Linked DNA regions of Mus musculus: regions 1, 3, 4, 5, 6 and 7 are each reported to be linked to region 2. The links are microRNA targets in miRTarBase. Many come from high-throughput screens and were not tested one by one. Region 2 holds a microRNA gene; each other region holds the end of a gene's coding sequence. Distances are from middle to middle.
Evidence for each region. The annotated mature microRNA mmu-miR-5135 reads AGGUCUAGGUGGCAAGGGCGUCCU and lies in region 2 at 2,757-2,780, opposite strand. An mRNA with a match to its seed (bases 2 to 7 or 8) in the 3' UTR can be bound and repressed. Matches are read on the target gene's strand: a 7mer-m8 pairs with bases 2 to 8, a 7mer-A1 pairs with bases 2 to 7 and ends in A, and an 8mer does both.

Region 1: miRTarBase lists Dzank1 as a target of mmu-miR-5135. Seed matches in the 3' UTR shown: 7mer-A1 at 1,285-1,291.
Region 3: the mRNA of Gpr68 is a reported target of mmu-miR-5135. Seed matches in the 3' UTR shown: 7mer-A1 at 1,736-1,742.
Region 4: miRTarBase lists Tox4 as a target of mmu-miR-5135. Seed matches in the 3' UTR shown: 7mer-A1 at 3,607-3,613, 7mer-A1 at 1,792-1,798 and 7mer-A1 at 1,620-1,626.
Region 5: miRTarBase lists Dnase2a as a target of mmu-miR-5135. Seed matches in the 3' UTR shown: 7mer-A1 at 937-943.
Region 6: miRTarBase lists Ifnar1 as a target of mmu-miR-5135. The part of its 3' UTR that is shown has no 7-base or 8-base seed match.
Region 7: miRTarBase lists 6030458C11Rik as a target of mmu-miR-5135. Seed matches in the 3' UTR shown: 7mer-A1 at 2,835-2,841.

Annotation. Positions count from the first base shown.
Region 1 is chr2:144,471,279-144,475,578 of GRCm38, reverse strand. Dzank1 (double zinc ribbon and ankyrin repeat domains 1) reads left to right here. Exons shown (of 21, transcript NM_172859.3): 21 at 490-4,300. The coding sequence ends at 655. Among named protein-coding and RNA genes, the nearest start is that of Gm46768, 53 kb to the right of the region's middle.
Region 2 is chr12:76,530,387-76,534,686 of GRCm38, forward strand. Mir5135 (microRNA 5135) reads right to left here and starts at 2,826; the gene lies at 2,748-2,826. It overlaps Plekhg3 (pleckstrin homology domain containing, family G (with RhoGef domain) member 3), which reads left to right and starts at 3,174. Exons shown (of 19, transcript NM_153804.4): 1 at 3,174-3,432.
Region 3 is chr12:100,874,865-100,879,142 of GRCm38, reverse strand. It overlaps Gpr68 (G protein-coupled receptor 68), which reads left to right. Exons shown (of 3, transcript NM_001177674.2): 3 at 1-2,461. The coding sequence ends at 957. Among named protein-coding and RNA genes, the nearest start is that of Gm36572, 17 kb to the left of the region's middle.
Region 4 is chr14:52,292,707-52,297,006 of GRCm38, reverse strand. Tox4 (TOX high mobility group box family member 4) reads right to left here. Exons shown (of 10, transcript NM_023434.3): 10 at 1,498-3,806. The coding sequence ends at 3,746. It overlaps Mettl3 (methyltransferase like 3), which reads left to right. Exons shown (of 11, transcript NM_019721.2): 7 at 50-88; 8 at 235-343; 9 at 426-491; 10 at 821-933; 11 at 1,914-2,166. The coding sequence ends at 2,025. Among named protein-coding and RNA genes, the nearest start is that of Mettl3, 10 kb to the left of the region's middle.
Region 5 is chr8:84,910,272-84,914,571 of GRCm38, forward strand. Dnase2a (deoxyribonuclease II alpha) reads left to right here. Exons shown (of 6, transcript NM_010062.4): 6 at 415-1,432. The coding sequence ends at 761. Mast1 (microtubule associated serine/threonine kinase 1) reads right to left here. Exons shown (of 26, transcript NM_019945.2): 25 at 3,049-3,236; 26 at 1,582-2,970. The coding sequence ends at 1,715. Gm38426 (predicted gene, 38426) reads left to right here and starts at 3,064. Exons shown (of 3, transcript NR_103491.1): 1 at 3,064-3,257.
Region 6 is chr16:91,504,752-91,509,051 of GRCm38, forward strand. Ifnar1 (interferon (alpha and beta) receptor 1) reads left to right here. Exons shown (of 11, transcript NM_010508.2): 11 at 304-4,300. The coding sequence ends at 660. Among named protein-coding and RNA genes, the nearest start is that of Mir6367, 21 kb to the right of the region's middle.
Region 7 is chr15:12,807,050-12,811,349 of GRCm38, forward strand. 6030458C11Rik (RIKEN cDNA 6030458C11 gene) reads right to left here. Exons shown (of 9, transcript NM_029998.3): 9 at 1,128-3,795. The coding sequence ends at 3,663. Among named protein-coding and RNA genes, the nearest start is that of Gm41274, 11 kb to the left of the region's middle.

The DNA of each region.
Region 1 (4,300 bases), not on the chromosome of region 2:
AAACAAAACAAACAAACAAACAAAAAATTTTCAGAACCTTAGTTAGGCCTTGGCTGGGCAGACTCTCAACCAGTTCATCTAACTTCACCTGACCACCTAACCCCATCCAGCCACGTGGCTAGCTATACCTTCCAGGCCTATGATCATGTCTGTCTCCTCCCATGTTCCCTGGTGACATGAAAGGGCTTTTTTTTTCCTTCTTTGTCCTAGAGTTCCTTTCTCCCTCCCAGGAAGTCCCACCTTCCACTTTCTGCCCAGCTAATTGGCCATCAGATTTTTATTAAAGCCAATCAGAGAATGTCTTAGGCAGGTGAGGAAAGACAGAGACACATTTTTACATAGTATACCCCAACAAGTAGAGTCACTCTGAGAGTTGAAGCCATAGTGTCTTTTTAGGGGCTTTTATGGGGTACATTGGCTTCTAGGCAAGGAAGGGTCAAGTTCTGAGGGTCATACGCCTGAGTGATTGTGTCTCCACTTCCTTCGCAGATGCAATGCAAACGCCCAAAAGAAGAACACAAGAGGCCAGACAGCATATGACATCGCTCTGGAGATGGGAGATGACCTCACCTCTTCTCTCTTTGCCGCTAAGTTCACCCAAGGTCTGGAGGACCAACTTTCTCCACCTGGGAACCGCATCCTAGGTGACAGTTAGATCTGAGGGGTCAGGAGGCTGCAGAGACTGCCCAGCTACAGCTGGGCTTAGTTTGGAATGCGTATTTAAGTGTAAGAATTACGGTTGAAAAGAACTCATAAGACTGTGTGTGTGTGTGTGTGTGTGTGTGTGTGTGTGTGTGTGTGTGTGTATGAGAGAGAGAGAGAGAGAGAGAAGGGAGAGTATGTAAGGGAGGGAGAAGAGAGAGAGGAGTGTGTGTGTGTGTGTGTGTGTGTGTGTGTGTGTGTGTTTGTGTGTGAGAGAGAGAGATTGAGCCTTGCAGATGCTAAGGCAAGCATTGTACCACTGGGCTATATCCCCAGCTTTCTTCATTTTGAAATAAGATCTCATAAAGTTGCTCAAGCTGGCCTTGAACTCCCCCTATAGCATAGACAGGCCTTGAACAACGTGGGATCTTCCTGCCGCAGCCTCCGAAGTAGCTGAGATTACAGGTTGTGACAAACAAACACAGCTTTTTTTTTTTTAAGGTGGTATAACTACCCAATACCACCTATACCTTAGAGTATGATAAAATGAAAGTTTTGTGTTTTATTTTCTGTTTTGTTGTTTTGTTTTCCCTTTTTTTTTCTGAGACTATATAGACATGGCTGGCCTAGAAATTTGCTATGTAGACCAGGCTGGCCTTAAACACACAGGCTGTCTCTGCCTCCCAAATGCTGGCATTAAAGGCATGTGCCACCATGTCCAGATTTTTAAAAATATTTTATTGATAATTTTGAAATTTGGTTTTTGATTTTTTGTTCTTCTTTATTGTTGTTTTGAGACAGGGTCTCATGTGTCTTGTCCTTGAACTTGTTATGTGGCTGAGGATGACCTTGAACTTGTGATCCTGCCGCCTCCACCTTCTAAGTGCTGGGATTACAGACTTGTACCACATTGGATTTTATGTGGTACAGGGGATTGAACCCAAGGCTTCATGCATGCTAACCAAATACTCTACCAACTGAACTACATTCCCAGCCTGGTTATTAATTTATCTTTCCATAGATAATAACACTTGTGGTTTAAAGCCAAAAGTATAAAGTACTATATAATAAAGTTCTCATCCAGGTTCTTAAACCACTGTTTCATCCTTAGAACCAGCCATGTCTGTGTAGAGGTGGTACAACATTATATAATCACATATGTATATGTACACAAGGAGGATAACATAAAAGTACATAGCACGTATATATCCTTCCCTATAATATAGCTTAATTAAATAATTTGTAAGAATTCATAGCAGAACGGCTATGTCCTTTCCTTAGCAGAGAGCAGACAGTGTATCTGAAAAGTCTCTTCCCAGGATCCAGAATGGGATGAACCTGTCTTGTGCTCCCTCAAACTGGACTCAGCCCATCTCTGGGCTCTTCCCCCTCTGCCCAGCAGTATTCCCTGCCTGGTGGTGACCCCTCACCCACAGCAGACAGATGACTGGAAACAGTTCTACTTGCATGACAGCGTTACAGACTGGCTCTTTCTTTCCTACAAAGGATCAAAGAAATATGTTCCTAGGAATGGGTTTAATATGGATGTAACTTAGATTCTGCTAAGTCTGCTGAAAGCAAGACCACACTTGCTCAGCATGACATTCTGTTTCTTAGTGGCGGTTCCTCTTCCCCCAACTTGCTGTAATGTTCAGGACATCCATCAGGAAAGAGATCCACTGTCTATAAGAGACCTAGGAGGTCTCTTCCTACAGATATGTGGACATCTGGTTAGTGCTATTAGATGCTTCTGTGTCTGGTGTTTTGTTTTCTGCCATCTAGCAAAATGTCTAACACTCAGGCCCCTCCTTTGGAGAACATTCCACATTGTATGAGAAACTCTGGGCCTCCAGCATCTCTCTCTCTTCCTTTTACTTACAGAATAGTACATGTGAGTCCACTTGAAGAGAGGGGTAACTGCCACCTTGCCTGCCTCTCTGTGTAATGGGTGACACAGTTGGTCACAATCAGTGGCCCAATAGTAGTTATGATCCCACAGTCCTCAGAGCTACTTTTTCCAGAAGTCGCTCTACAAACCCTTGACCAATGTGAACCCCAAATACTCTGCCTGGTTATATGTTCTGTGTATTTCCCTTGAAAACCATGGAACTATTCCCACACAGATACACATACTGGCACACTTATAGAGTTGGCATAGAACAATCTTAGATACAGCATTTGGAAGCACAGACAGAAAGTGTCGAGAGAAGACAGAGAAATCAGACCAGCTAAAGATATTGGAATATTATGGTAATGGCATCACTATGGTTCTTAGTACATACAAAAGAGGGTATGTAGGCCAAAAATGTTAAGTGCAGTTGAGTAGAGAGAGGCTCTGTGACCGTGCTGGAGGAATTGATGGGATGGAGTGGTCATCTGATGGATGGACTTGCATGGCTCAAGGGAGGAGCAGCTGGTTAGCAGAATACTTCTCCAGACTGTTGTCTGTCTAGGACATTAGTGGAATCAGAGGACTATTGAGTTCTTAACTGATTGGTGGTGACAGCCCAACTAAAGGGACATTCTCTAGAGCCTACCTATGCTCTACCTATGCTGTTGATGTTAGGTAAATTCATAATAAAGTCCACTAGCTTATGCTGATGACAGTTTGACCTCATTCCCCTCATAACATACCTGAAGGCCTCGGTAAACTTCACAGGCTGATCCCTTTGTAATCTCCCAGAGTCCTCCATCTTTAGCAAAGTTGAATTTGTAAGGTTGAGACAAAAATCGTATTCTCCAGCAGGTACATTGTCTCCTGTGACTGCTAAAGCAAAGCTCTCCATTGTTTTTAATCTGTTACCATTTTGGCCCGGTCTGGATCTTTCTATCTTCAAGTCTCAATATCTATTGTAGGAACCCAGGAGGAGCTGTAGGGTTTTTTTGGTTGGGGTTTTTGGCCAGATGCAGTCTATAGGTTTGAATTAAGTTCAGGTTACCCAAAGTGTTGAGCCAAAATATTATCTACAAAACTGGGCCATCAAGTCTGAGAGTCTGAAAGCTGCCAAGACAATTCAGCTTCGAACACAGGCCTTCCACGTATTCTAGATTCATTGAATGTACATCTTTTTAAAGTGTAGGCAGCACGTAGGCCAGCTCACGTACCATGTACCATTAGGGCCCTGTGAGAAATGAAGCTGCACCTTCCTGCCTACCAGAGACATCCACGTGGCAGACAGCAAGGAGCTGGTGACCCCTTACCTAGTCTCAAGGTTAAGATGTTGAAACGGGATTTTTGGTTGTGTCTAATACTGTGAAATAACAATGTAAGTGGTCTGTTTCCCTTCGGTAAGCTTCTTCAGTGATGTGACCATGTGGGTTGTTTCTGTGTTACGTTCCTGACAGCCAAAGTCCTGAAGGTGCCTTTTCACGTTAAAGTGGTTTGATCTCTGAGTTGAGTTATGAGAAATAGGCGAGAATAGAGGAGTCCCAAGAGTAAAGCTTTAAGAAATGTGGGCTGCTGAGATGTCTTTTAGTGGTTGAAGGTGTGTCTTTGAAGAGGCTTGTGGGATCTCCTCATTCTCTTTTGCTTCCTGGTGATGAAGTGAATGGTTTTGTTCTGGTATGATGTAGTTAGTGCCTTGCCACAGGCTCAAAGGCATGGAACCAAATGATCACGGACTGGAAACTTCTAAGCTGTGAGCCAACACAAACCTTT
Region 2 (4,300 bases):
AGTCTCTATGTGGCCCTGAAAGCCAGGATCAAATGCCTGGCAATTTTATTTTCAGTCCTAGTCACAGAACCTCATACATGTAACTGAAGCAATCTGCCACCGGGCTTGCAACCCCTAGACCTTCACTCTTCTAATACAGAAAAGTTTGATACTGTGAAGTTTATCATCTTTTTCCCCCCTTTTGTTGTATGTGACACACTTTTTCTTGTTTTCTGTGGTGCTGGGCTTCAAACTCAGAGCCCTGTCCACGCTAGGCTCTGCTAAAACGCAACTTGCAACCCTGAAAGCACAGATTTCTGAGTGTAGTAGGGTCACCTTTGAGAAGGATTTCTTCCATGTTTGGGGATGAAGTTCTGTCAGCAGCAGCAAGCCATGGCCCCTCCTCACAGCCCGGGATCACAGCCCCAGGGGATCTCTTGCCTGTGTTTACATCCCTCCCTTTCCTGATGTTCACAGTGGAGCAGCAGAAATGACAATTGTGAAAACTCAATGGCCTTGGCGTCTGGGATTTGAAGCTTTCATGCGAGGCTTGGTAGCAGGCGGTCAGAGGCAAGGGATGAGAAACTGCATTGGTTCCCTGTGAGTCATCTTGACTCTGGTTGTTTGGTTTTCTCATCCATAAACTAGGGAGAACACCTCCATTCTCCCTTCCAAGTGGAGGGGCTGAGATGATGAATTAATTTGTATTTGTTAGACACCCTGAGACCTCAGATTAAAGGCATTACTGAGACTCAAGGTGTTATTATAATAATAAATGATTTAATAGCAGGGCGAGGCCGCTCGCTGAAGCAAGAGCTGGTGGGAAGGCAGAAAGGCTCAACGCTGAGAAGGGGGCTGCGGCTCGGCTTGAGACCCTGGTCCTGACACTGACTCTTGGAGGCTTGGAGGTAGGAAACTGATTTTTTATAAAATCTTGCTTGTTTCATCTGGCTCCAGCATGGCCTTATTGAATGCTTCTTACAAGTTCTGCATAGTAAGATTACAATCTTTTCAGGAAATGGGCATATAAATTAAAGCAATTAGAAACAACTCGAGGCTTTAGAATCAAGTTCAGAATGGACTAACAAGTGTCTAGAAGGAAGTGGAGAAAGAGCTGGCTGGCTAAATGCAGTTTTCCCTGTGGGTAGAAACTCCCAGCTCTACCACCCACTAGCAGTATGACCAAGCCTCAGTTTCTCCTGTAACCGCAATTGTTCTTGTAAAATGCTCAAAGGTTAACACAGTAAGCACTCCAGTGTCGCCCCCTCAGACTACGCCCCTTGATGCAATTGATCTTGGCCAGACTGCTCCATCCTTAGAGCCTCAGTATTCTTCCTGCAAAATGGGAGTAAGTGTATTCCTGCCTTAGTGATTATAAAGTGCAGTGCACTTGGTAGCACCATTCCCTAACCATTACTATCATCAACATTTTATTTTTCTTTTCTAGCTAAGGAGCCAGTCATACATTCAAAAGTTTTAAATCTCTGGATTGGGGCTGGGGGACGTCTTTGGAAGTTGGGAGTTTAAGATTAGTAGGAAAGGACTGGTAAGATTTAACAGATTAGAGAAGAAACCAGAAACCCAGAAAGTTCGAGGTGGGAAGGAGTGGGGCTTCTCCCTTTCCCATCCCACCCCGTAGTTTTATCTCTCTCCCCCGTTCCCGGGTAATCTTGTTTCTCACCAGTGCTGTCCTCTAGTCTGCCGCTCTTCAAGCCTAACCTGTGGACTAAGTAACGTGAGCCTTACTTTCTGGCCCTCCCGCAGTCAGGAGCAAGGACTACTTTAATCTTTACTCTTCCCAGGGATCCCGTTTCAAAGTCACCTGAAAGCCATTTCCTCTCTCTCTGCCCCGCCCCTCCCCGTAAATCACTAGGTGCTTGCTTTTCCCTGGGGCAGCTTTTTTTTTTTTTTTTTTTGAGGGCAGTGGTGGAGGAGGGGATTTTATAAGCTATTTAGGATTTTCACTTGTCTACACTTGGCGGTCTAAATGCTGAGTTACTGGGGTCGATTCTCCATTCCTGTTCCAAGAACCTGGTGCCATCGTTTAACGCAGGAGTCCTACTTCTTCTGTGATCTCACACTGGGCTCCCATCTCCTACCCCTCTTCATGGTGCGTACTGGGGACAGCATCTAATGCTACCTCCCCTAAGATCTTTACCAATGAAAGATTTATTCTTAGTGAGGTGTAGTAGCGCACACCTATAATTCTAGCACTCTGGGGGATCACTCAAGAGTTCTGGGCTAGCTTGGGCTACAAAGTGTGGGCCTGTTTCAAATCAAAAAATAAAATAAAAACAATAATTAGGGCGTGGTGGTGCACACCAGTAATCCCAGCACTCCGGAGATAGAGGGTGGAGAACCATTACTCTCAAGATTACCCTCTGCCAGTCTCAGATAATTGAAATCCTGCTTCAAAAACAAAAACCACACAAAAGATTTATGTTCTTGCTCAAAATCTAACTGGTTTGTATTCTATGTGCTTGTGCTAATCATCCCCCAATTTTCCCATCCCCTAATTTCCCGGTACATGCCTTTTGTTGATAGATCGCACTCAAAATGGGGTCCACTGACATTCAGGTTCCTCGATCAGTTTTTCTCATTAACAGTCCCACTGAGCGCCGCGCCCCGCCCCGCCCCAAGTTATGCGCTTCTTATCTCTTTCTCCTCAGAAGGTAAGATTTTACAACTGTAAAGAGCCACCGAAACCTAGTTTCGGCGAGGAATTCGAGACGTGCCTTTCTGACTCAGCGGTCGTGGTGACCTGCTCCAGTAGGACCAGGACGCCCTTGCCACCTAGACCTGCGCTTCTCCTGGGAAAGTCTAGGTGGCTGGGCTCCGAGTCCTCTCTGGTCGGAACCTGGTCTGGAGGCTTTCGTTGCCCTCTCGGCGTGATATCAGGGCGGTGGCACTAGAGTAACCCCACCACGTGCGCCTTGGGATCCCAGAGTTCCAGGTGGCAAGGGGAGGCGGCCAGCGGGACCCACACGGCGGGCCACGCGCGTTAATCATTAGCCACGGCGGCCGCTGTCTACAGCGGGAGCCACAGCTCGCTCGCACCGCCGCGAAGGTTCCCCCGGGCCCCCCAGAGCCGCCAATTGCTGGATCGCAGCCGCGAGCGCAGTCTCCACCCACTGGAAACATTCCTGGTCCGCCCCTCCCTGGCTCCCTCCCTCTCCCTCTCTCTCTCCCTCCCTCCCTCCCGCCGCAGCCTGGACTCCGGCCGCAACTTCCTGCCCGGTGCTGGGGAACCGTGCGCATTTCGGGGGTCCCCCGGCGTCTGGTGCTCGCAGCGAGCAGAGGCTGGGACCGCGGGGCGGCCAGCCGTGGGCGGGAGCGGCCGGCGGCCTCTGCCGCTTCCGAGAGCGACTTTCAAACTCGAGCCCGCTTCGCGGCGCCACCTGGGCAGCCCCGCGCGCCTGGCGCGTCGCGAGCCGGCGGGGCGGCCACCGCTTGGTGAGTGTCCCTAGGTTTGCCTTTCTCTCTTTGCCCATGCTCGATTGGCTGAGTGGCAGCGCTCTGCGGAGACCCCAGGCTAGCCCTCTGTGGGATGAGGACCTGGCCCCGAGCTGCCTCGGACACACTCGGAGGAGGTTGGGTCGCGGGAAGGTCGTAAGGGGAGTCACTTTTTATCCCCACCCCGGAAACCAAAGCAGCATAGGCTTTGCAGAGTTTGAAATCCGGGCAGCTCTCGACATTCCCGCCACCCCTTCCTTGTGTGCCCTGACGCCCGTGGGCTAGTGCTTGCCTGAGACTGTGGGCTCTTCTAGAAGGACTCGCCTCTGGTCCCGCCAGCCCAGGAGTGCGCAGGCACTCAGTCTGTTCTGGGTTGGTGCCACACCGTGCTTCTGGGAATCTCAGCTGCATGTCCAGGAGGATTAGAGTGGGTGTCAGAAGCCAAGTGTCCAGGAGCTGCAAATCTAGAGCCCCTTGATGCTGCCCCTAACAGCCTCTCCTTCACTCCCTTCAACTGGTTTGGTTATTCACACCCTTCTCTCAGACCTTTGATTTGGGAAGCTTCAAGCTTCAGTCGTTCAAGATGCTCCTTTGGTGGTAACGATTTATTCTGCGGCTACTTTTGAAAACAAAGGGGGGAAAAAAAAACCGGAACAAGCCGCATGATGGTTGGAGGGTGGAGAAAGCGGCGCTGCGAGGTGGTGCTAAAAGTTGGGTGAGAGTATATCGTCTAGAGTCGCTAAACTCTTGGTAGATTAAGGGCTGTTAAGATTGTTAACCCTCCCAGCAACCGATCAGTACTAGAGCACCTTACAGAGAACCCTAGTCTTAGGGTTCCCAGTCTTCCAAACTGTGCTTGTTCAAGAGT
Region 3 (4,278 bases), 24 Mb from region 2:
TTGCAGATCAAGGCCCGGAATGAGCTGGGAGTGTACCTGTGTAACCTGACCATTGCAGACCTGTTCTATATCTGTTCACTTCCCTTCTGGCTGCAGTACGTGCTTCAGCACGACGACTGGTCCCATGGTGACCTATCCTGCCAGGTGTGTGGCATCCTCCTCTATGAGAACATTTACATCAGCGTGGGCTTCCTCTGCTGCATCTCCATCGACCGCTACCTGGCTGTGGCCCACCCCTTCCGCTTCCACCAGTTCCGCACCCTGAAGGCAGCCGTGGGTGTCAGTGTGCTCATCTGGGCCAAGGAGCTGCTGACCAGCATCTACTTCCTCAATCACAAGGAGGTCATTGAGGACGAGGACCAGCACCGAGTCTGCTTTGAGCATTACCCTATCCAGGCCTGGCAGCGTAGCATCAACTACTACCGCTTCCTGGTGGGCTTTCTCTTCCCCATCTGCCTGCTGCTGGCCTCCTACCAGGGCATCCTGCGGGCTGTGCGCCGCAGCCACGGCACACAGAAGAGCCGCAAGGACCAGATTCAGCGGCTGGTGCTCAGCACCGTGGTCATCTTCCTGGCTTGCTTTCTACCCTACCACGTGCTGCTGCTGGTACGCAGCCTCTGGGAGAGAAACTGTGAGTTTGCCAAGAGCATCTTCAACGTCTATCACTTCTCCCTCCTCCTCACCAGCTTCAACTGTGTAGCTGACCCGGTGCTGTACTGCTTTGTCAGTGAGACCACTCACAGGGACCTAGCCCGCCTCCGAGGAGCCTGCCTAGCTGTCCTTACCTGCTCTAGGACAAGCAGGGCCAGGGAGGCCTACCCTCTGGGTGCCCCTGAGGCCTCTGGGAAAAGTGGGGCCCAGGGCGAGGAACCTGAATTGTTAACCAAGCTCCACTCAGCCTTCCAGACCCCTAGCTCACTGGGAGTGGGAGGGCCCTCCACAGTGGGGTTGGCCTAGCTTGAGTCACGTGTATGAGGCTAAGTTAGGCCCTGAGCTTTCACCAACAGGCCTTGTGGTCGGGAGCTTGCATGGTGGCTGTCTCCCACTTTACCATGTACGGGTGCCTCTCTCCTCAGGAAGGAACCATGGTTTGGGCCACAGCCAGGTCCCTCTGGCCCCTGGAAACCTGCTCCGTGTCCTGAGCCTGGGCACTGCTGACTGTGTGAATGAGCCCTGTCTCCTCCCATGTTCTTGGTGGCCGCCTGGGCTGCAGATGGGAGGGAGTCGGCATCGTCACTTCCAGGAGATTTGCAAAGAGCAGCAGGCCTGGGGTGCGGAGAGGAGGGTAGGACCCTGCGTGGTCACCTGCCAAGCCTTCCAGTGCCCCTGTTGTCACAGACGATACCAGCCCAAGTGTGCTATGGTCTTGTGTGACACAGGAAGCTATATAGCCACCATCAGTATTTGAGCTTGCCTCTAAACTAGTCTAGGCCAGAGGACTGGTTAAGGTGAAGAACAGGGGCGGGGTTGGTGGCTAGGGATAACAGCAGAGAGGCAGTCAGGGAAGAAACCCCAGCATCAGGCACGTCTCACTTTACAGAACTTATGGAACAGGGCCCCACCCCCAAGGGCTGATGGCAAAGAAACCCCAGGGATGCCGGAGAGATGTCAGGGGCCCTCAAAACATCGTACTAAAGCTTAATAAGAAGACTTAGGCCTAAAACTGCGTCCTTAGCCAAGTTCCTGGCACACAGGGTTTCTCTGTGTAGCCCTGGCTGTCTTGGAACTCACTCTGTAGACCAGGCTGGCTTCGAACTCAGAAATCCGCCTGCCTCTGCCTCCCAAGTGTTAGGATTAAAGGCGTGCGCCACCACTGCCCAGCCCTAATTAGCTTTTTGTGTCCGTCTAGTCTAAGTGTCAGACCTGAGAGCCTAAGGGAGAAGAAAGAGGGAGAATATAAAAAAAATGGCAGGGTGTCCATGGCAACTGTATGCCAAGACATTGATACTAACTAGGATCATGTATCTGTTGTCAGTAATTCCTACCCTTCTCCCCATGCACCATAGAGCATCCAGCAGCTTTTGAGAGGAGTGTGACAGTGACAGTTTCCCAGAGTTCCTAAGTGCAATGAACTAACCACACACACACACACACACACACACACACACAATCATGTCTCGTGACCACAGGTTTGGCTTAAGCTGCATTTTGGTATAGGAGAGTTGGCAGAGATGGCTGCATGCCAGAAAGACCTACACCTTCCCCAGCCTCGGTCCTTACAGGCCAATGGTGATAGCTAAGTGTTCTGTGCCTCCTCATCCCACAGTATTTCCCCTGTTTGACCTGAAATTCTGGATTCTCACTGGCTTGGACTGGAGCAAGCTAAGCCCAGCTCCCCTTACTAAGGAGTGCTGTATTTTTGTATTGTTTTCTCTCTTATGCCAAGTATCCCTGTGTTGGACTGTGAGGTGGGTTTATGTAGTGACTTCAGTCAGCAAATAAAACAAAGTAGCCAATCATAGCAGAGTGTGTGCAGTCCTTATAGGCAGAGACTCCACCCACACCAGGAAGATCAGGTGTGTCCTTGAAAGACCCCAAATAGAAAGATCCAAGGGCAAGATGGGGGTTGCATTTGAGTGCCTAACAAGTGGTTAAGCCCAAGCCACAAGGACAGTAGAGTTTTCTCTTCTGCCTCATGGCAAAGCCCATGAATCCGTGCAGCATGGCAAAGCCCATACATCCATGCAGCATGTTGCAAAGCTACCCTGGATGCATCTGTGCAGGTGGTGTTGTAGATTCACCCTGGGACTTTTAAGGACAACACCCAGCCCTGTGGTTTAGCGAACAAGACTCCCTCTGTCTTTGACCACATGGGACTCTGCATATTGAGTATCTCCCCAACCCCGACCCCCCCTGACCCCTCCCCCCCCCCCCCCGCAAGGGTGAGCCCCCATCAGACCAGAAGAAGAGCCTGTTTCACTCATCTCTGGCATTTCCCCAGAACCAACTGGTTTTGCTTGCAGCCGCCCACCTTGCTTGTTGACAACCTCTGTCTGCCGGGGCATCCTCTCACCAGCATCAGACTCCGTGTTTATCACTAAGGATCGCCCACATCCTATTGAAGCATAAATTTGATTTTGACCACTTAATCCCTCTATGGATCAGGCTCCTGGAGTTTTGGAGTGTTATGGAAGAATAGCTCTTTCTTCCAAACAGACTAAGCAAGAATATTATTAAGGATTAATCCTGCTTTCTCTCCTAAGAGAAGGACTGGGAGCAAACGTCCATCTGGTTTGGACTGAAGGTGACAGAAGCCATTAAAATTCCTTTTTTACTCCCCAGTGTTGCTTAGTAATACAAGGACTCATCTTCCTGTTTACACAGGACTGTGGGTTGGCCCGAAGAGAGTAGGAGAGAGCCTCAGCACAGAGCACATCTCCATCTGCTGCTTCCCACCAGCTTGTGTTCTAGAGAAAGCCAGAAGCTGAACCAACTGCTTTATGCATCTAGGGATGGAGTCTCCATTCCTGGAATTCATCTGGTCTCAGTGTCCAGGGCTCTGGTGGGAATGGGAAGATCTCAATTCCATTCTCTCTCAGTTAGCAGCTATCTTAGGAATACCACTCTATGAGATATTCGCTGTCTGTGCTGGAGTATTCCAGAGAGGTCACAATACCCAAACTCCTCACTGCAAAGAACCTTGTCTGGGTCCCTCAGTCCAGTCTCTCCACAGACACTAGTAGTGGCAACTAAGTCACTACTGTGCAGACAAGCCATTCCAGGGGTATCTTAAATTCTAAGCACCCCAATGAAGAATCACTTTATTATCTGCTGTCTCTGATGTGATGTAACCCTCTGGGGACTGTTGTTTGAAGACACTTCTCAATGATAATTCTTCCAACTCAGATTAGCAAAACTGGATTCAATTAGAGCAACAAGCAAGTCACATCACAATGCTGTAAAACAAGGGGGGGGGGCAAGGGAATATCTCATGGTTAGCCCGGGGGTCAATCCCTAGCCCCAAATCATAGTGAAAATGACAAACATAAGTGGCTGATACACGTTTATTTTACGTTTCTAAGATGTCCAATGAAAAGGGTCTAAGATGAAGGCTTAATTGGGAAAGTGCTTTCTGTGTAAGCATGGAAATTGAGTTCAATTTCTAGAACCCACATTTGAAAAAATAAAGAAAGCCAACACTCAGGAGACAGAGGCAGATGAATCTTTGTGAGTTTGAGGCCAACCTGGTCTACATAGTAATTCCAGGATAGTCAGAGCTACATAGTGAGTCTCAAATAACAACAAACTAAAAAACACCCCTCAAAAACAAACAACAAC
Region 4 (4,300 bases), not on the chromosome of region 2:
GTGCTCTTACCCACTGAGCCATCTCACCAGCCCCCTTCCATCTTTTTAGGGCCATGGAATTGGGCAGAGAATGTCTGAACCTCTGGGGGTAAGTAGAAATTATGTTGCCTTTTTTAGGAGAAATGTAACTTGACAAGTCCCTTCTCTCAGTGTTCCTGCCAATCTGCCCTTGTGTCTTGTGCTGTGCCTCAGCTGTGAAGCTGGTTAAAGCTCAGGTTCTCTCCTATGCTCCAGTTATGAACGGGTGGATGAAATCATCTGGGTGAAGACTAATCAGCTGCAGCGCATCATTAGGACGGGCCGGACGGGTCACTGGTTAAACCACGGGAAGGAACACTGCTTGGTGAGGAACAGGAGGAAGAGGGGGAGCTGCTTAGGAGACTGAAGGCTGTGGTTGTGTAAACAGTGTTCTCTGTGATGAGCAGGTTGGTGTTAAGGGAAATCCTCAAGGATTCAACCAGGGCCTGGACTGCGATGTGATTGTAGCTGAGGTATGTGTCCCCTGTGCATCTAAAGCTTTCAGACTTTCACTCAATACTCCTGTCAGTCTCCATTTTTTTTTTTTTTTTTTCCTCATTTGGGTAACACAGACCAGACTAGAATTGCAATCTTGAGTAACTTTTTAAAAATTTATTTTTATTTCATGTGTATCAGTATTTTGCCTGCATGTATGTCTTTTTGAGGGTGTCATGAGCTGTAGGTCTTGGGAATTGAAGCCAGGTCCTCTGGAAAAACAACCAGTGCTCATAACTGTGAGCCATTTCTCTATCTATTAAGCAATCTTGAATAACTTAAAGTAGCTTGAGTTTTTATTTTCTAGGTTCGTTCCACCAGTCATAAACCAGATGAAATATATGGCATGATTGAGAGACTGTCCCCTGGCACCCGCAAGATTGAGTTATTTGGACGACCACACAATGTGCAGCCCAACTGGTAACATTAAGAGAACAGGCTCTTGCCTCCCTACCTCCTGCCCGTCCCTCCCCCAAAAAACCCTTTATGGACAAAGACAGATGTCACTGAGTTGTATACATTCTGGTAGTCTAGATGGCTTAAGCTTTACCAGAATCTACAACATTCATTAGAACCCAAAGGGCTGTTCTTAAAGCTCTAACTGCCCAAGGATCGTCAGCTATTCTGTGGGCTATATTAAATCTGCCCCCTAGTGGCTACTAAGTATTTATTCAATCTGTCAGTTTTAATGTTTGATGCCAATGGTGAGCATTTTAATTATCCAAGGACTATTCACTAGCAGTGACTGAATGAAGTAGGCCTGGCTACCATCAATTACTAATCCTTAGATAGACAGATCCGGCTGGATCTTGGGGCATGAGACTGAAGCAGGAGGATTGCAAGCTTAAGGCCTGCCAATGCTTATTTAGAGGTCTCAAAAGGGGAGGGGGGCTGGTAGTGTTAAGAGTTTAAGAGTGTATATGTAAGGTGCCTAGGTTCAACTCTTAGGACCACCAAAGAAATTAAAATCCAATCAGTTTTTGTATTGACACTGCCATATTATTTGCTCTGATCTTTTTAAAAGTTGATGTAGGCCGGGCGTGGTGGCGCATGCCTTTAATCCCAGCACTCAGGAGGCATAGGCAGGTGGATTTCTGAAGCCAGCCTGGTCTACAAAGTGAGTTCCAGGTCAGCCGGGGCTATACAAAGAAACCCTGTCTCAAAAACCAAACCAAACCAAACCAAAAAAATTGACGTGGACTGGGCATAGTAGAGCACACCTTTAGCCTCAGCACTTGGGAGGCAGAGGCAAGTAGATCTCTGAGTTCAAGGTTAGCCTGGTCTACATGGAGAGTTAGTTCCAGGACAGCCTGAGATAGGTATCACCAGAAAGTAGAACATTTTAAGTATTAAGCCCTTACAGGATTTTTGGTTTGCCTCTTCTTTCCCCCTTGTTTTAGGATTACTCTTGGAAACCAACTGGATGGGATACACCTACTAGACCCAGATGTGGTTGCCAGGTTTAAGCAAAGGTATCCGGACGGCATCATCTCTAAACCTAAGAATTTATAGACGCACTTCCTTACAAAGCTAAGCGTTCAGAGCCATGGGCTACAGGCCACACCTTAAGAGGACTGTTTACGCAATAGTGTCCCCTACCCTGTATATAAATAAATAAAAGTTTGTATTATAATTGGAATTTCTGAAGTGAAATTATGGCTTTCCACTTAGTGTGTGTCCTTGTGCTACTCTTATTTAGCGTGATTCATTATAAGTAAAAGAAGAATGTTAGCTACCTAGCGTGTTAGAAAAGACTACACAGGTTCACAGTGCTTAGCAATTAATATGCTATAAACAGGATTAATTTGAATTTTACCATGCATATGGTACTCTAAACTTTTGCTTATTCTATGTACGTTTGCTGGTTTATTAGTCTGTAGCTAATTTCTAAGAAAAACAAGGTACCTTCAATTAAAATTAGAGCTTAGAATATAAAAAATTGGCCTATGCATTATGTAAATGAATGCACATTTAAAAGATGTTTCATCAAACACAGATTCTTTACTTTGTAAAACCTCTTATTAGGGGTATAGAGTTCTGCTTCTTACATGCAAAACTGGTAACCAAGTCAGGTAAAGAAATACTTGTACAGAAAAAGATCGTTTTGGATGATGTCGTTTCCCCTCTAGCCCAATGTGCTAAGACTGAGACAAACAGAATTTGTGTGTTTTTGTCAGGAGCAGGGAGGGGGACCTTAAGATAGGATCTCACTAGGTAATCCTGGCTAACTTCAAGCTCAGAGATCCAACCTGCCTCTTGCCTCCTAAGTTGTAGGATTAAAGGGGAGTGCCACCACACCCGGTCTATTTTTTGAGACAAAGTCTGATTTAAGTTCAGATCAAAAATCTTCCTGTCTACTTCCAAAGTATTAGGATTAAAGGCACGGGCCACCATGTTCTGTAAAACCTTTACCTCATGCATCTTAGACTGTTCTCAAACTCACTAGTGGGCCAAGGATGACCTTGAACTCCTGATCTTCCAGCCTGGGGTCTGAACTCAGAGCTTTATAGTGCTAAGCCATAACCCCAGGCCTTCAAACCTTCCTCCTAATAGCACTGTGTATATCAATAATAGTTCCCTTTTAAAGGGCTATCACACATTTTATTTTAAATCAGTATTTTCATTCCTCCTTCACTTGGGATTTAAACCCAGTGCACTTTACCACTGAGCTGAAACCCTAAGTCTCTCTTCTCCCAGAGCTTTTTCTGCCGAGAACAAAGCAAAGCACTCGCCCAATGACATTCTAGGCAAGTTGTCTGACCGTTTTACTGGTATGTTTCTTCTAATGACCCCTATGATTTGCTCCCATCACTCTTCCCTGTGCTTGCTAGTAAGCTGGTAATTTTGCTTACAGTTGAGAGTAAAAAGCAATTCTAAATTACAGTGAATTTGCTGGCCCTGCTACATAGTCTGGCCTCTGCTGAAGAAAGAAAAGGGAGATGGAGGCATGAAGGACTATGGGTAAAGGTCAGGCACTACAGAAGCCCAGTTTGTGTTTAAAAAACAGGCTTTTGGCCGGGCGGTGGTGGCGCACGCCTTTAATCCCAGCACTTGGGAGGCAGAGCAGGTGGATTTCTGAGTTCGAGGCCAGCCTGGTCTACAAAATGAGTTCCAGGACAGCCAGGGCTACATAGAGAAACCCTGTCTGGAAAACCAACAAAACAAAACAAAAAAACAGGCTTTTGGACTCGTGTTCAGCAGATGAATCTTCAAGGCTTGGAGAAGACGAAGGCTACTTCACAAACACCACAGAGTTTGGATTTCTAGAGGCCACCCAGGCCAAGAATACATCCCTAAGAGAGAAAGATACATACAAACTTATTATAGCAAAACCATACCCAAATATTTCCCTACATCTCCAAAGTATAACATCATCAAGTAGCCTAAAAGTCAGATGTGGTAGACTGTGCCAATCCACCTCGTAGAGGACACATATGCCCTTTCACGGATATAGGTAATTCCCTGGGATATTTTGGTAGAAGGGCAAAGTTTTCACTTACTACTCACCTTCTCTACACTTAGCATTTACTCTGCTACTTTCCCCCTTACCTATCCCTCACCAAATTCTTTGACACTGGTAATTGAAATCAGGACCTTACCCATGCCAGGCAAGCAGTTGTCAGTTGAGCTACATCCTCATCTCTAAGCAATTGAACATCTAGGAGCATCTCTAATCAGATACCTACCCACCCACACATGTCAAGTGGCTCTGCCTAATAAGGTCATGCTCAGTCCACACGGGTACGGGTACCATGCTCCCCAACAGTTTCACTTCACTACCTCTTGA
Region 5 (4,300 bases), not on the chromosome of region 2:
GGATATTAAGGGTTCCCTTAGTGGGTTGTGAAATAACACATAATTGTTTGGTAAGGATTCCCTTTAGGGGTGTGGGGAGGCAGGCCCTCACTGTGTATCCCTGGCTGGTCTGGAACTCTCAGAGAGCCATCTGCCTCTACTGTCTCAGCGCAGACTTTAAAGGCTCGAGTCTCCATGCCCAGCCTATGTGTTTGTGTAAGACCTCTCTGTACATTCCAGGCTAGACTCCATCTGAGAGCCTCTTGTTCCAGCTTCTGAGTGTTAGGGCTGCAGGTGTGACCTGAAGAGGGACCTGACCTGTTAATAGGGGCTGCTTAGGTTCACGTCATTCCAAAAGTAGACATTTGAGCCGAGCAGGAAGCCATACCGAGGAATGTACCAGTGGCCCTCACCTCATCCTTCCTTCCCCTGCAGACCTGTACTCCGGATGGTTGGCAGAAGCCCTTGGCACCAACCTACAGGTCCAGTTCTGGCAAAATTCTCCAGGCATCCTGCCCTCCAACTGCTCTGGAGCCTATCAGGTTCTGGATGTGACACAGACAGGATTCCCTGGCCCATCTAGACTAACTTTCAGTGCCACAGAGGACCACTCCAAATGGTGTGTGGCCCCTCAAGGGCCCTGGGCCTGTGTGGGTGACATGAATAGGAACAAAGCAGAGACACACCGAGGTGGCGGCACAGTATGCACCCAACTGCCTTCCTTTTGGAAGGCCTTCCAGTCCCTGGTGAAAGACTGGAAACCCTGTATAGAGGGGAGCTGACTGAAGCCCATCGGAGCAAAGGACTAAGACTCCGCAGTCTAACCAGGTGGGGGCCGGACTAGCCTTTACCCCAGCACTTGGGAGGCAGAGGCAGGTGGATCGATTCTCTCTCTCTCTCTGGTTTTTCGAGACAGGGTTTCTCTGTGTAGCCTTGGCTGTCCTGGAACTCACTCTGTAGACCAGGCTGGCCTCGAACTCAGAAATCTGCTTGCCTCTGCCTCTGTCTCTTTCTCCCAAGTGCTGGGATTAAAGGCATGCGCCACCACTGCCCGGCTCAGGTGGATCTCTTGAGTTCCAGGCCAGCCTGGTCTACAGAGAGTTCCAGGAGAGCCAGGGCAACACAGAGAACCCTTGTCTCAAAGAAAAGAAGAAGAAGAAAAAAAAAGAAAAACAAGAAAAAGAGAAAAGAAAGAAAGAAAGAAAAGACTCAGAGACTAGTTTTGACTTGAATTTGTTTGTGTGTCTGTTGGTGGGTTAAACCCAGGGCTTACCACATGGGACACAAGTACAGTGCTGCTGAGCCACACTCCCTGTCCCAGCTATGAATCTGAATACCAGTTCAGTCCCTTCCTAACTGGAGACCTTAACAGTGCCTTAACCTCTAGCTGTCTGTTGCAAAATGGGCATCACAGCATGTCTCTAAGAGGTTGTTAATACAACCAACTCTGTGCATGGCACTGGTAACCTTTTTCTTAAGATGGAGCCCAAGACACAGACCAGGGGTGGGACACCTTTTCCTTACAAAAGCTGTTACCACGTGTGGAATTGGCAGTGGATGGGACATAGGAAGGCCCTAATGAAAGCCACCTTCTTACTTTCTGAGAAGCCAAGGGCCATTCCTGTCCAGAGAGGAGGTGTGAACCCCAAGAATCTCAGGCAGCATGGGCACTTTATTTATATGTGTACATATGTATACAGGCATCTGTACAGCACAGCACCGAAAGCCTGCTCCGCTATGGACCTAGAGATGCAGGGCTAGGTGCCCCAGTTTTGGTGAGGCCTGCAGGAGTCACAGCTTCAGCAGGACACCGGGAGTTCAACCCTGCTTCAGGCTTGGTGCCTGGGACCATGAGGGAAGCAGGTGGGACTGAAGGAGCTGCACTGCGGGGTACATTCTTTGTTGGGACTAGGGTTGGAGTCTGGGGGTCAGGAGAGAGTTTGGGGGAGGCGGGCTTAGAGCGAAGTCCGCTTAGCGTGGTCCGCTCTTCCACCTCCTCTAGCACCCAGCGCTCCCTGCCCCTTGGGGCATCAGGCATCAGAGGCATCTGGGCTACAGGTTCCTTCAATCCCTTGGAGTCTGTGCCCAGAGGCTGGGGTGCCTGGGTCTTGACCCCTGGCCGAGCAGGCTCTACAACAATGGGCACCGGGGGTGTGCCTGCCTCACCAGAGCTACTGCGCCGGCCTGTCTCATGTTCCTGCACTGGACTTAGCGCTGCCTTGGCCAGGGCCCTGGCCACCCCACCTGGGCCATCCTCAGTCTGCACGCTCTGGTGCCTTGTGCAACCCGAGTCACGCTCCAGGGTCCGGCTCCCAGGGGTTGTCGCGCGAGGTGGGGTGCAAGCCTCTGTACCTCCCGCGGAATCCTCCTTGCTTGACGCCATAGGTCTCTGGACACCATCGGGTAGCAACGGGTCCGCGCCCAAGCTTAGGGGTGATTCCTGGCGACCCAGGCGTCGCACGGCGACCTGCCGGGTCGCCCCAGGACCCTCAATAGGAGGCGTCTCACCATCAGACTCAGCGAGGCTATGCAGGGCCAGCTCACCATGGAAGTCCTTTCGGAAATCAGGGTGTCCCACTTCCAGGCTGTGTTTGCGCAGTGCGCCCTTCTTGTCTGCTCCCAGCGAAGCCCCTAGTTTCTCCGCTGACTGCACGCGCTTGAGCAACGGCGAGCGTGGTGGCTCTGCACTTTTGGGGCGCGGGCGCACGACAGGTGGCGATGAGTGTAGTTTGGCAGGGAAGCTCTGCGTGGTATGTGAGCTGCCCACCGTGTGGCCTGGCAGCGGCGGCGGCGACGCCTGCGTCGGGGATGGTGTGTGCGCTAGAGGTGACAGCGGGATGTTGCCAGCCGATTTACAGCGCGCTGAGCGGTACTGGCGGTGTAGTTTCGGTGACAGCCCGTGCAAGGTGCTGGGCCTGATGTGGTGCGAGGCGGATGAGGCGGGGGAATTAGGCGTGCTGGAAGCTGGCGAGCTACTCTGTGACGAGGCGCCTGCAGGCCAGAGAAGGTGCAAACATTCTGAGCACCTCAGTGTCCTAGTCCCCTACCCCGCGCAGGCGCAGAACATACCTAGGTAGGCGGAGTCAGGTGTAGAGCGATAGCTATGTGTGGGCGAGCGTGCGGGTAGTCCGTGCGTGGGCGAGCCCGGAAGACTGTCGCTGGACGACAAGGACCGGTTCAAAGAGGACAGCGATCGACTGGTGTGCAGCAGGTTCGACTGCTTTGTGATCTTCCGAAAGAGAGAGCTCCGCTTCTTGCTGGAGGACAAATACCAAAAGGTATTTATTTGTCTTTCCTTAACTTCGGAGCTCTGGATCACCCCCACCCCCACCCCACCCCGGTTCTAGACTAGGCAGTAACCTCCTACCTCTTTCTAGCATTTCCCCTTTCCCTACAACCCGTTTATCAAAGCAGAACTAGAGTTCTGCTCAGTTCTGCTTGACCGTGCCTTCTCTTTTTCTGGCTACGGTACAATGCAAGAAAGCCCATCCAAAAAAAACCTCCGCCTCTTCTGGCCCCTCCCAAACATCTAGCCACACTCCTTTCCCCTGTAAGCCCACTTTACAGGTTAGTTCGCTTCCTTCAAATCGACACACGAGTCCTGGTCAAATCTCTCTCTCTCTCTCTCTCTCTCTCTCTCTCTCTCTCTCTCTCTCTCTCTCTCTCTCTCTCTCTCTCTCTCTCTCTCTCTCTCTCTCCTCTGTTCTGTCTCTCTCACAGACAGGGTCACTATGTACTTCGGGCTACCCTAGAACTCTTTGTATAGATAGGACTGGCTCTGCACTCACAGAGATCACCCTGCTTCTTCAAGGATTAAAGGCATGCGGCCCTTTGTCTTTGGGGCTAGAGAGATGACTCAGCAGTTAAGAACCGTGGCTGCTCTTCCAGAGGACCAGACTGGCTTTTCAGCAGTATGTGGCATCTAACAACCACCTGTAACTCTAGTTCCAAAGAATCTGGCGCCCTCTTCTGGCCTCTGCAGGCATCAAGCACACATGGAGTACACATAAACAGAAGCAATCAAAATGCTAATACAAATTTAAAACAATAAAAACTAAAACAAAACTGGTCTGTTGGGGCTGGAGCCATGGACAGTTGGTTAAGAGGGTATATTGCTCTTGATCGCCTCTGTTAGACAGCTAACTCACAATGCCTGTAACTCTAGCATCTAGGCAATCCAACCAATACCCTCTTCTGGCCTTCAGAGGCACATCCACAATCAGACACAAACCTATACATAATTAAAATGTTTTAAAAATTAAAATAAATAAGCCTTTTCTCTTTCATCTAGAGAGGTGGTTCGGTGGTATGAAGATCTGGG
Region 6 (4,300 bases), not on the chromosome of region 2:
CTCCGTCTCTCACTTGTGCTTTTGAGTGCAAGAGAACTGGGCTGTCACTTCAAAATGTCTGTGATCCCAGCACCCCTAACCCACCCTTGGCAGCACAGTGCCTGTGTGAGGATTCTTCACAGGTTTACCCAAAAATGGCCTTGAGCCCGGTGGCCTGCTGTGCCTTCTGAGCCTCACAGTCATTCCCGGGATAGCTCATATGTCGTGATGCACACTCCGAAAGGCTGGACATAAAACAGAAGCTAGAGCTGGAGATGCAGGGTTTATTTTAAACAACCTGTTTTCCTTCCCTTTTACCATCAGTTTTTCTCTGAGCCGCCTTCAAAAAACCTTGTACTTCTGACGGCTGAGGAGCACACGGAAAGATGCTTCATCATTGAGAATACAGACACGGTCGCTGTAGAAGTAAAGCACGCGCCTGAGGAGGACCTCAGGAAGTACAGCTCACAGACCAGCCAGGACTCGGGCAACTATTCCAACGAAGAGGAGGAGAGTGTGGGCACCGAGAGCGGCCAAGCTGTGCTCTCCAAAGCTCCCTGCGGGGGGCCATGCAGCGTGCCTAGCCCTCCTGGGACCTTGGAAGACGGGACCTGCTTCCTGGGAAATGAAAAATATCTTCAGAGCCCAGCCCTGAGGACAGAGCCAGCTCTTCTCTGCTGACAGGTGCTCGGCCCAGGCTGGGGGCCGTGTGGAGGAGACAGACTTATCTGAAGTGGCTGCCAGCTTCTGCTGCCAGCTGGAAGCCCTGGGTGCTGTTTGTGCCACAGATGAGGCTCACTGATGTCAGGCATCTGGTGGTTCTGTCTCGGTGTTTGTCCTCTAGGTGACATTTAGAACATTCCGATTTTTAATCCTGCCGTAGCCCCTCAGTGTGTCACAGGTACCATTGTCTACAGCCGCGCTTCCTAACCCATACCTCACCACAGCCGTGGCTTCTGACCAGAAGTCACTGAAACCATGGAGAAAGGGGACACTAACTGGAGGAGCTGGCGTTGTTTAAGATCTCAGTGTGGCCTGGGTGTGCCCGTTGTACTCTAGTACTTGCAGAACTAGAAAATGCCAGGGACAAAAAGCAGGCATGAACCATTCAGTAAGAGAGAAGCTAGTGAACCTGATGGTGAAAGAAGACCGTGTCCAGTCAGTGTTTGTGTGAAGGCCCTGTGCTGCTCTCTGTAGCCTTCCCGTGGTACTTATAAAACCAGGCCGAACCCTGTCCTCTGTCCGGCACTATTCAGGTCCCTTCCCAGCTCCAGGTACTTAAAAAACAAAGTGTTGGGTCCTGGGGTGAGGGAACAGCTTCGACGGCACAGTGCTGCCTGCAGGCGCCTATAAGTGACCTTAGATGAATGCTCCATGAGCATCTTCGGTAGGCAGGACATCCAGCAGTGCTGGTGGCTCCAGGGCAGACTCAGTTGCAGGCCAAAAAGGAAGAGAGAGGAGTCATAGCCCTGCCCCAATCGAGCTTGTTGCTCGCTGCACTGCGCCTTTGTAATCAATCTTGGTTTTTTTGTTTTGTTTTGTTTTTTTTAACTTTTAGGTGATAACATATTCTCAGATATAGCACACAAGAGACACTACACAAATTACGTCTGAAAGTTTTGATAGAAAAGAGCTTTTGACTGGGGTAGACAGCTTGCTCCTCACTACTACCTTGTATCTCAGTCTCCTCAACAGAGAGAGAATGCAGATTGATTTTCATCCTGAGTTTTATTTTCTTGCCCGGTTTCTGGGTTCGGGTGTGCTTTCAAGGCTCTGAACAGCTTGTCTGCCCACAGGGGAGCCCGGAGACCCAGCCTTTTGGCTAAATGTTGCAGGTTCCTGTACTTGAAGGACTCCAGCTCCTCTGTAGAGGGCATGGTCATCGCGGTCTGCAATCACGCTGATACCCAGAAAAATGGCCACACAACTCAAATCTGGTGCCACGCTTTAATAATTCTACCCAGCACGGCCCAGCCCTGTTCACGGCGGAAAAGCTCCTTCTGCCAGGACAGCCTGTGAAGAAACAAGACCTCCGAGGACGTGGCCAAGGAAGGCCCAGATGCTAGCGGGAAGTTGTTAGTTGGCACTCTTTCATCTCTCAACAACTGTGACACAGGTCTTCAGGGTGAAGCCCAAAGCAGCTATCGGTTGCAGCAGCGGGTAAGGAGGGGGCTTCACCTGAGCCTGGCCTTCTGGGCGAGCAGTTCTACCTGCACACTTCAAGACAGCCTCCATGACCCTTTTCACGGCACACCGCCTGCTTTTGGTGTGACCGGGGTTTCCTGTGCAGGCACATGTTCTTAAGGAATGCCATGCACACAGGCCTGAAGAGCTGGCTCAGCGGGTAGAGCACAGGTTGCTCTTGTCTGGGATCTGAGCTCTGTCCCCAGCACCCACAGAGTGCTTCTGGTTGCCTCAGACTCCAGGGGTGCACAAGGCCATGTAAGCAAAGACATGTAAGCAAAGACAGTTGTACACAGAGAAGTCAAACCTTTTTGAAAAAAAGAAACACCACGGGCTGGAGAGATGGCTCAGTGGTTAAGAACACTGACCACTCTTCCAGAGGTCCTGAGTTCAATTCCCAGCAACCACATGGTGGCTCACAACCATCTGTAATAGGATCTGATGCCCCCTTCTGGTGTGTCTGAAGATAGCTACAGTGTATTCATATATAAAATAATAAATACATCCTTTTTTTTCTTTTTTTACTATTGGATATTTTCTTTATTTACATTTCAAATGTTATCCCCTTTCCTGATTTACCCCCCTCCCAGAAGCCCCCTATCCCATCCCCCCTCCCCTGCTTCTATGAGGGTGTTCACCCACCCACCCACTCCCACTTCCCTGCCCTTGATTCCCCTACACTGGGTTATTTATCAAGCCATCATAGGACCAAAGACCTCTCCTTCCATTGATCCATGACAAAGCCATCCTCTGCAACATATGCAGCTTGAGCTATGTGTACTTCTTGGTTGATGGCATAGTCCCTGGGAGTTCTGGGGCAGTGGGGGGTTGGGGGGAGTCTGGTTAGTTGATATTATTCTTCCTATTGGGGTTGCAAACCCCTTCAATGCCTTCAGTCCCTTCTCTAACTCCTCTATTAGGGACCCCGAGCTCAGTCCAGTGGTTGGCTGCTAACATCCACCTCTGTATTTGTAAGGCTCTGGCAGGGCCTCTCAAGAGACAGCCATATCAGGCTCCTTTCAGCATGTACTTCTTGGCACCCACAACAGTGTCTGGTTTGGTAACGCTGTACGGCATGAATTCCGAGGTGGGACAATCTATGGGTGGCCTTTCATTCAGTCTCTGCTCTACACTTTATCTCCATATTTGCTCCAGTGAGTATTTTGTTCTCCTTCTAAGAAGGACAGAAGCACCCACACTTTGCTCGTCCTTCTTATTGAGCTTCATGTGGTCTGTGAATTGTATCCTGGTTATTTGGAGCTTTGGGGCTAGTATCCACTTATCAGTGAGTACATATTGTGTGTGTTCTTTTGTGATTGGGTTACCTCACTCAGGATGATATCCTCCAGATCCATCCATTTGCCTAAGAATTTCATGAATTCATCGTTTTTAATAGCTGTGCAGTACTCTGTTGTGGAAATGCACCACGTTTTCTGTATCCATTCCTCTGTTGAGGGGCATCTGGGTTCTTTCCAGCTTCTGGCTATTAGAAATAAGGCTGCTATGAACATAGTGGAGCATGTGTCCTTCTTACCAGTTGGAGCATCTTCTGGGTATATGCCCAGGAGTAGCATAGCTGGGTCCTCAGGTAATACTATGTCCAATTTTCTGAGGACCGGCCAAACTGATTTCCAGAGTGGTTGTACGAGCTTGTATTCCCACCAGCAATGGAGGAGTGTTCCTCTTTCTCCACATCCTCACCAACATCTGCTGTCAACAGAGTTTTTAATTTTAGCCATTCTGACTGGTGTGAAATGGAATCTCAGGGTGGTTTTGATTTGTAATTCACCAATGACTAAGGATGTTGAACATTTCTTTAGGTGCTTCTTGGCCATTTGATATTCCTCAGTTGAAAATTCTTTGTTTAGCTCTCTACCCCATTTTTTAATAGGGTTATTTGGTTCTCTGGAGTCTAACTTCTTGAGTTCTTTGTATATATTGGATATTAGCCCTCTATCGGATGTAGGATTGGTAAAGATCTTTTCCCAATCTGTTGGTATTGTTTTGTCCTTTTGTCAGTGTCCTTTGCCTTACAGAAGCTTTGCAATTTTATGAGGTCCCACTTGTCGATTCTTTTTTTTTTTTTTTTTTTTTTTTTTTCGAGACAGGGTTTCTCTGTATAGCCCTGGCTGTCCTG
Region 7 (4,300 bases), not on the chromosome of region 2:
CTGCTACCCACTCCCCAAGGTTTATATAGCCCTTATTAACCCCCTAATAAAGAAGCGGTAACACTGAAAACTCTCAGAGAAGGCTTCTTCCTCCACAAAAACAACCCCCCCACCATCGCCCCCCCCACCCCCGGCATTCAAGACAAGCGTGTTCCTGCAAACCCACCCGGCCTGGATAAGCCTGGACAAACCTGCTTATGCTTTCATGCCAGGCAGCTGAGCTACAGTGCCTGAACACACGGAAGGCAGAAGCAGAACTGGCCTGCGCTGGTGCCCAGCCAGAAGTCTCATCCCTGCTGACTACTGTCCACAGTGCTGGAAGGTACTTTGCATGTTGGAGGAGTAAAGTGGTCACTGGCATCACCTGGCTACAAACCCTACAACTTACAAACACGGTTTCAACAGTGGTGCAAGCGTTACGATTGGATTGAAGACTTTGTTAAGATGGAAGATATGCTTGGCACTGCTCAAGTGGCAAGATACCTGGGACTAAATTGGTCATAGGGCTAAGGGGAAAACCTACTAGAATCTTGCCAATGGTACAGAGCAATGAAATGACTCCTAACGACACACTGCTATACGCATAGATCAGAGTATTGTCCACCCCTCATCAGAGATGCTGCTTTGTCGTAATTAATTCAGAAACCCATAACTGAGCAATGGGCAGAGCTGGAGACCTCGGCGCACAGCCCTCAGTGGAACGTCTCCATTACCCCCTGCCCTCAAGACTTACGGATCTACGTGGAAGAGGAGGTGGGAAGATGGTGAGAGTGGTGGATGACACCAAAGAGAGAAGACCGACGGGCATGCGAACTACAGAGACTGTGGCAGCACGCACAAGACCCGCAAAGGTTAAAAGCAGACAAAATCCCAGCACTGAGAAGAGAAAGTAGGAAGAAAGCCCTACCTGCTACTAAAAAGCTATCTATAATTGGTATTTTCTGGGAAAGGGGCAATGAGTTTAATGAGTTTTCTCCAGAGGAGCGCTACTGGGCATGTCGACAATTCTAGTGGCAAGTACCATGAAAGGGGCAGTTGGCCTACACAAAATACTCTTGTGTTTTTTGTGTGTGACTTTTGGTACCTTTTTTGACCTTTTTTTTTCCTCTTTCCTTTTTTGTTTTTGAGAGATAGACCATGGAGTAGGAAGGGGGGATCTGGGAGGAATTATACAAAATACATTGTATGTAAAAATTTTTAAATAAAAGTTAAATCTTAGGGAGTTGAAAAGATGGCAGAGCAGTTAAGAGTACTGGCTCCAAGTCCAGGGGATTGGACACCTTCTCTGGCTTCCATGGACACTAAAGCCATGTGGTACACACATATACATGCAACACACTAAAATAATAAAAAATTAAAAATGTTAGTAGATGCTTATTTTATTTAGTAATTTAAAAAGTTTTATCCAACCCAGGTTTAAAAAATGATGACTCACATCAGAGTCCACTGCAGTTACAGTAACCCATCAACAATAAAAAACCAAAACCAAAACAGCTAAAACTCAATTAAGTCCATGCACTGACACGAAGAAGAATTAGTTCTATAGTTTGACCTGAAACCCTTAAAGCTTCCAAATACAGGATTTAATTTCATTTTGCACATAGACTAATTTATTCCTAGAAATGTCTAGTTATAGAACTCTTTAACAAGACATTTTCAGAGCTTAAAAACAATTTTACAGTTCTGAGTTTGGAAGAACACAAATCTTTTGATTATCAGGATGGAAGGCTATCAGTTGGTTTTATTTCCACAATACAAACAAGCTTTCATAGTATTGGATTTTTGTCAATTTCCTCAGTGCCAAGAGAATTCGCCAGAGGAAAACATGAGCACGGTAGGAAGAGTACGCACCGCAGGGCAAGGGTAAGGCATCCTGGAGAACTGGCCGCTTCGAGGTAGGTCACTCTGATCCTGGCTACTCCCCTCTCCAGGCCCACGTGCAGGCGAGGGTTGAAAACGGGCTGTGAAGACAAAAGCTACTGTGCTCGCCAGGAGTGATGGATATTTATTTTTTCTTTACATATCATCTTACCCTTTAAAGAAATTAAGCAGTTATAAAGTAATTACTGAACAAAAGTGCAGGGAACAGGCAAGCAGAAATTAGCTTCTAGGATAAAGACGGTCCCATTCACGCCTGGTGGGGTGGGAACTCAGGGTAAATAGTAGTGGCTGCAGCCACTCTCTGGCTAAGGGCAAACTTGGCTCATTAAATATATGAAGCATCATCTTCAATGCACGGCGCAGAAAACATTCTCTTCTCTATGCAGTGACAGGTCTTTCCAATAAAAACTTTATGTTTATATGTTTACATGTGGGTATGTACACGCATGCGTGTGTAGTTTTGGAGGCCACAAGAGAACACTGGAGTTGTGAGGTTGTGGGCTGCCATATGGGTACTAGGAACTGAACTCCAGCCTTCTGCAAGAGCAGCAAGTGCCCTTATCTGCTTAGCAACTTTCTAACCACTCGACTGATTGACTGACTGCCAAGAAAATGACACCTAGTGCTTAAATGCTTAATGCCAACTGAGGACTATAATGACCACCAAGGCAAAACTCCCAAAAGGCGTTTCCACTGTAAGCAGCTGGGCAGTGGTGGTGCACGCCTGTAATCCCAGCACTTGGGAGGCAGAGGCAGGCGGATCTTTTGAGTTTGAGGTCAGACTGGGCTACAGACCGAGTTCCAGGGCTATCAGGGATACATAGAGAAACCCCGTCATCTCAGAAAATCAAAACCAACCCATCAAAAACAAACGGCCGGGCATGGTGGCGTACATCTTTAATCCCAGCATTTGGGAGGCAGAGGCAGGCAGATTTCTGAGTTCGAGGCCAGCCTGGTCTACAGAGTGAGTTCCAGGACAGCCAGGGCTACACAGAGAAACCCTGTCTCAAAAAAAAACCAAAAAACAAACAAAAACCCCAAACCAAACCAAACCAACCAACCAACCAAAAAGAAACAAACAACCCAAACAAAACCTACAACAACAACAAAATTTTGCTTAGGTGTATTCAACCAGACCCCTTGCATACAAACAAGTCTGGAGAAGATCCAGCAACCGCGTGGGCACAATTCCAACACGCTTAGCGCGGCAGACTTTCTGCAAGCACCGTCATGGACTGGCAAGGGTCTTCTGACATGCCATCTGCGAATGTTACTTTATACTTATGGTCAAGGGTGCCCTGAGAGCCGACAGTTCTCCAGACGCAGCCGTGGCTCTCCCTTTTCCCTGAGACTGCTGTGGGCCCTTATTTGCTTCTCAGGTCTCCCACACGAGGACAGAGCAGCTTGTCTTTAACAGAGTCTGGCTCTCAAAAGTGCTAAGTAAACATCAGCGAATAAATAAATAAATCTCATATCATCCAAACCCTTGTTGGGGAAAGAGAAAAAAAAAAAACCCCTCTTACAGAATCAAAGGCAGCGATGGGAAGCAAGGAAGATAACAGACAGTCTCCATCAACCGGGGTAACGGATTTGATGTGAAAACAATAAAACCAAACAAGAACCCCTGCGTCTACCCCAAGTGTTGTATGTGGTTGGTCACTGATACTTGCGTGGAGATTTCTGATTCCAACTGAGAGTTAACAAGAAAGTGCACTCTGGAAGCCCAGAAACAAAAGCCGGGTCTGTCACTGCGCCAAACTGCACAGCAGCCTAGCACGGTCTCAGCTCAGAGGGGACTCTTCTGAGTACACCAGGTGAGTGTCCAGGGTCCCGTAGAGTGAGTGCAGCACATCGAGGACCTTTCCCTGAATCATGTCAACTTGTTCCGGAGGACAGTAATCATCCAGACTTGACCTGGAACCAAGCGGAAAGGGGGCAGAGCAGAGTGAGAACAAAGTCGCCCGTGTGGAGGCACAGCCAGTGCACTGCTGCCAGCGAGGGCCACAGGCGACTGTGGAGTCACGGCTGAGAGCAGGGAGATGCTTACCCCACTTTTGGTGCTTTACAGGAATTGTCCTTTATTGTTTTCTAAAATGATATTCTATAGGACAGGTATAATACTAAGGATTGGTATTTGATATCGAGATGGGACATTGCTAAGCAGACCCCAAGGCCTCAGACTGGTTGTGTAGACCAGGAAGGTCCCACAGTTCCTGTGACCTTCCTGCCTTTGCCTCTAAGTGCCTATCTTAAGCATGGCTACCACAGCTGAACTCAGGCCTGTATTGTTGGGTGGCAAGCACTTTACCCTCAGCCACCTCCCCAGATCACCTTCAGCAAGCTCACCATCTCCACATAGGTGAGAAAGGGCTGTATTTCAGGGTAAGGCCATTTTTTTTTTCTTAAAGCTTTATTTTTA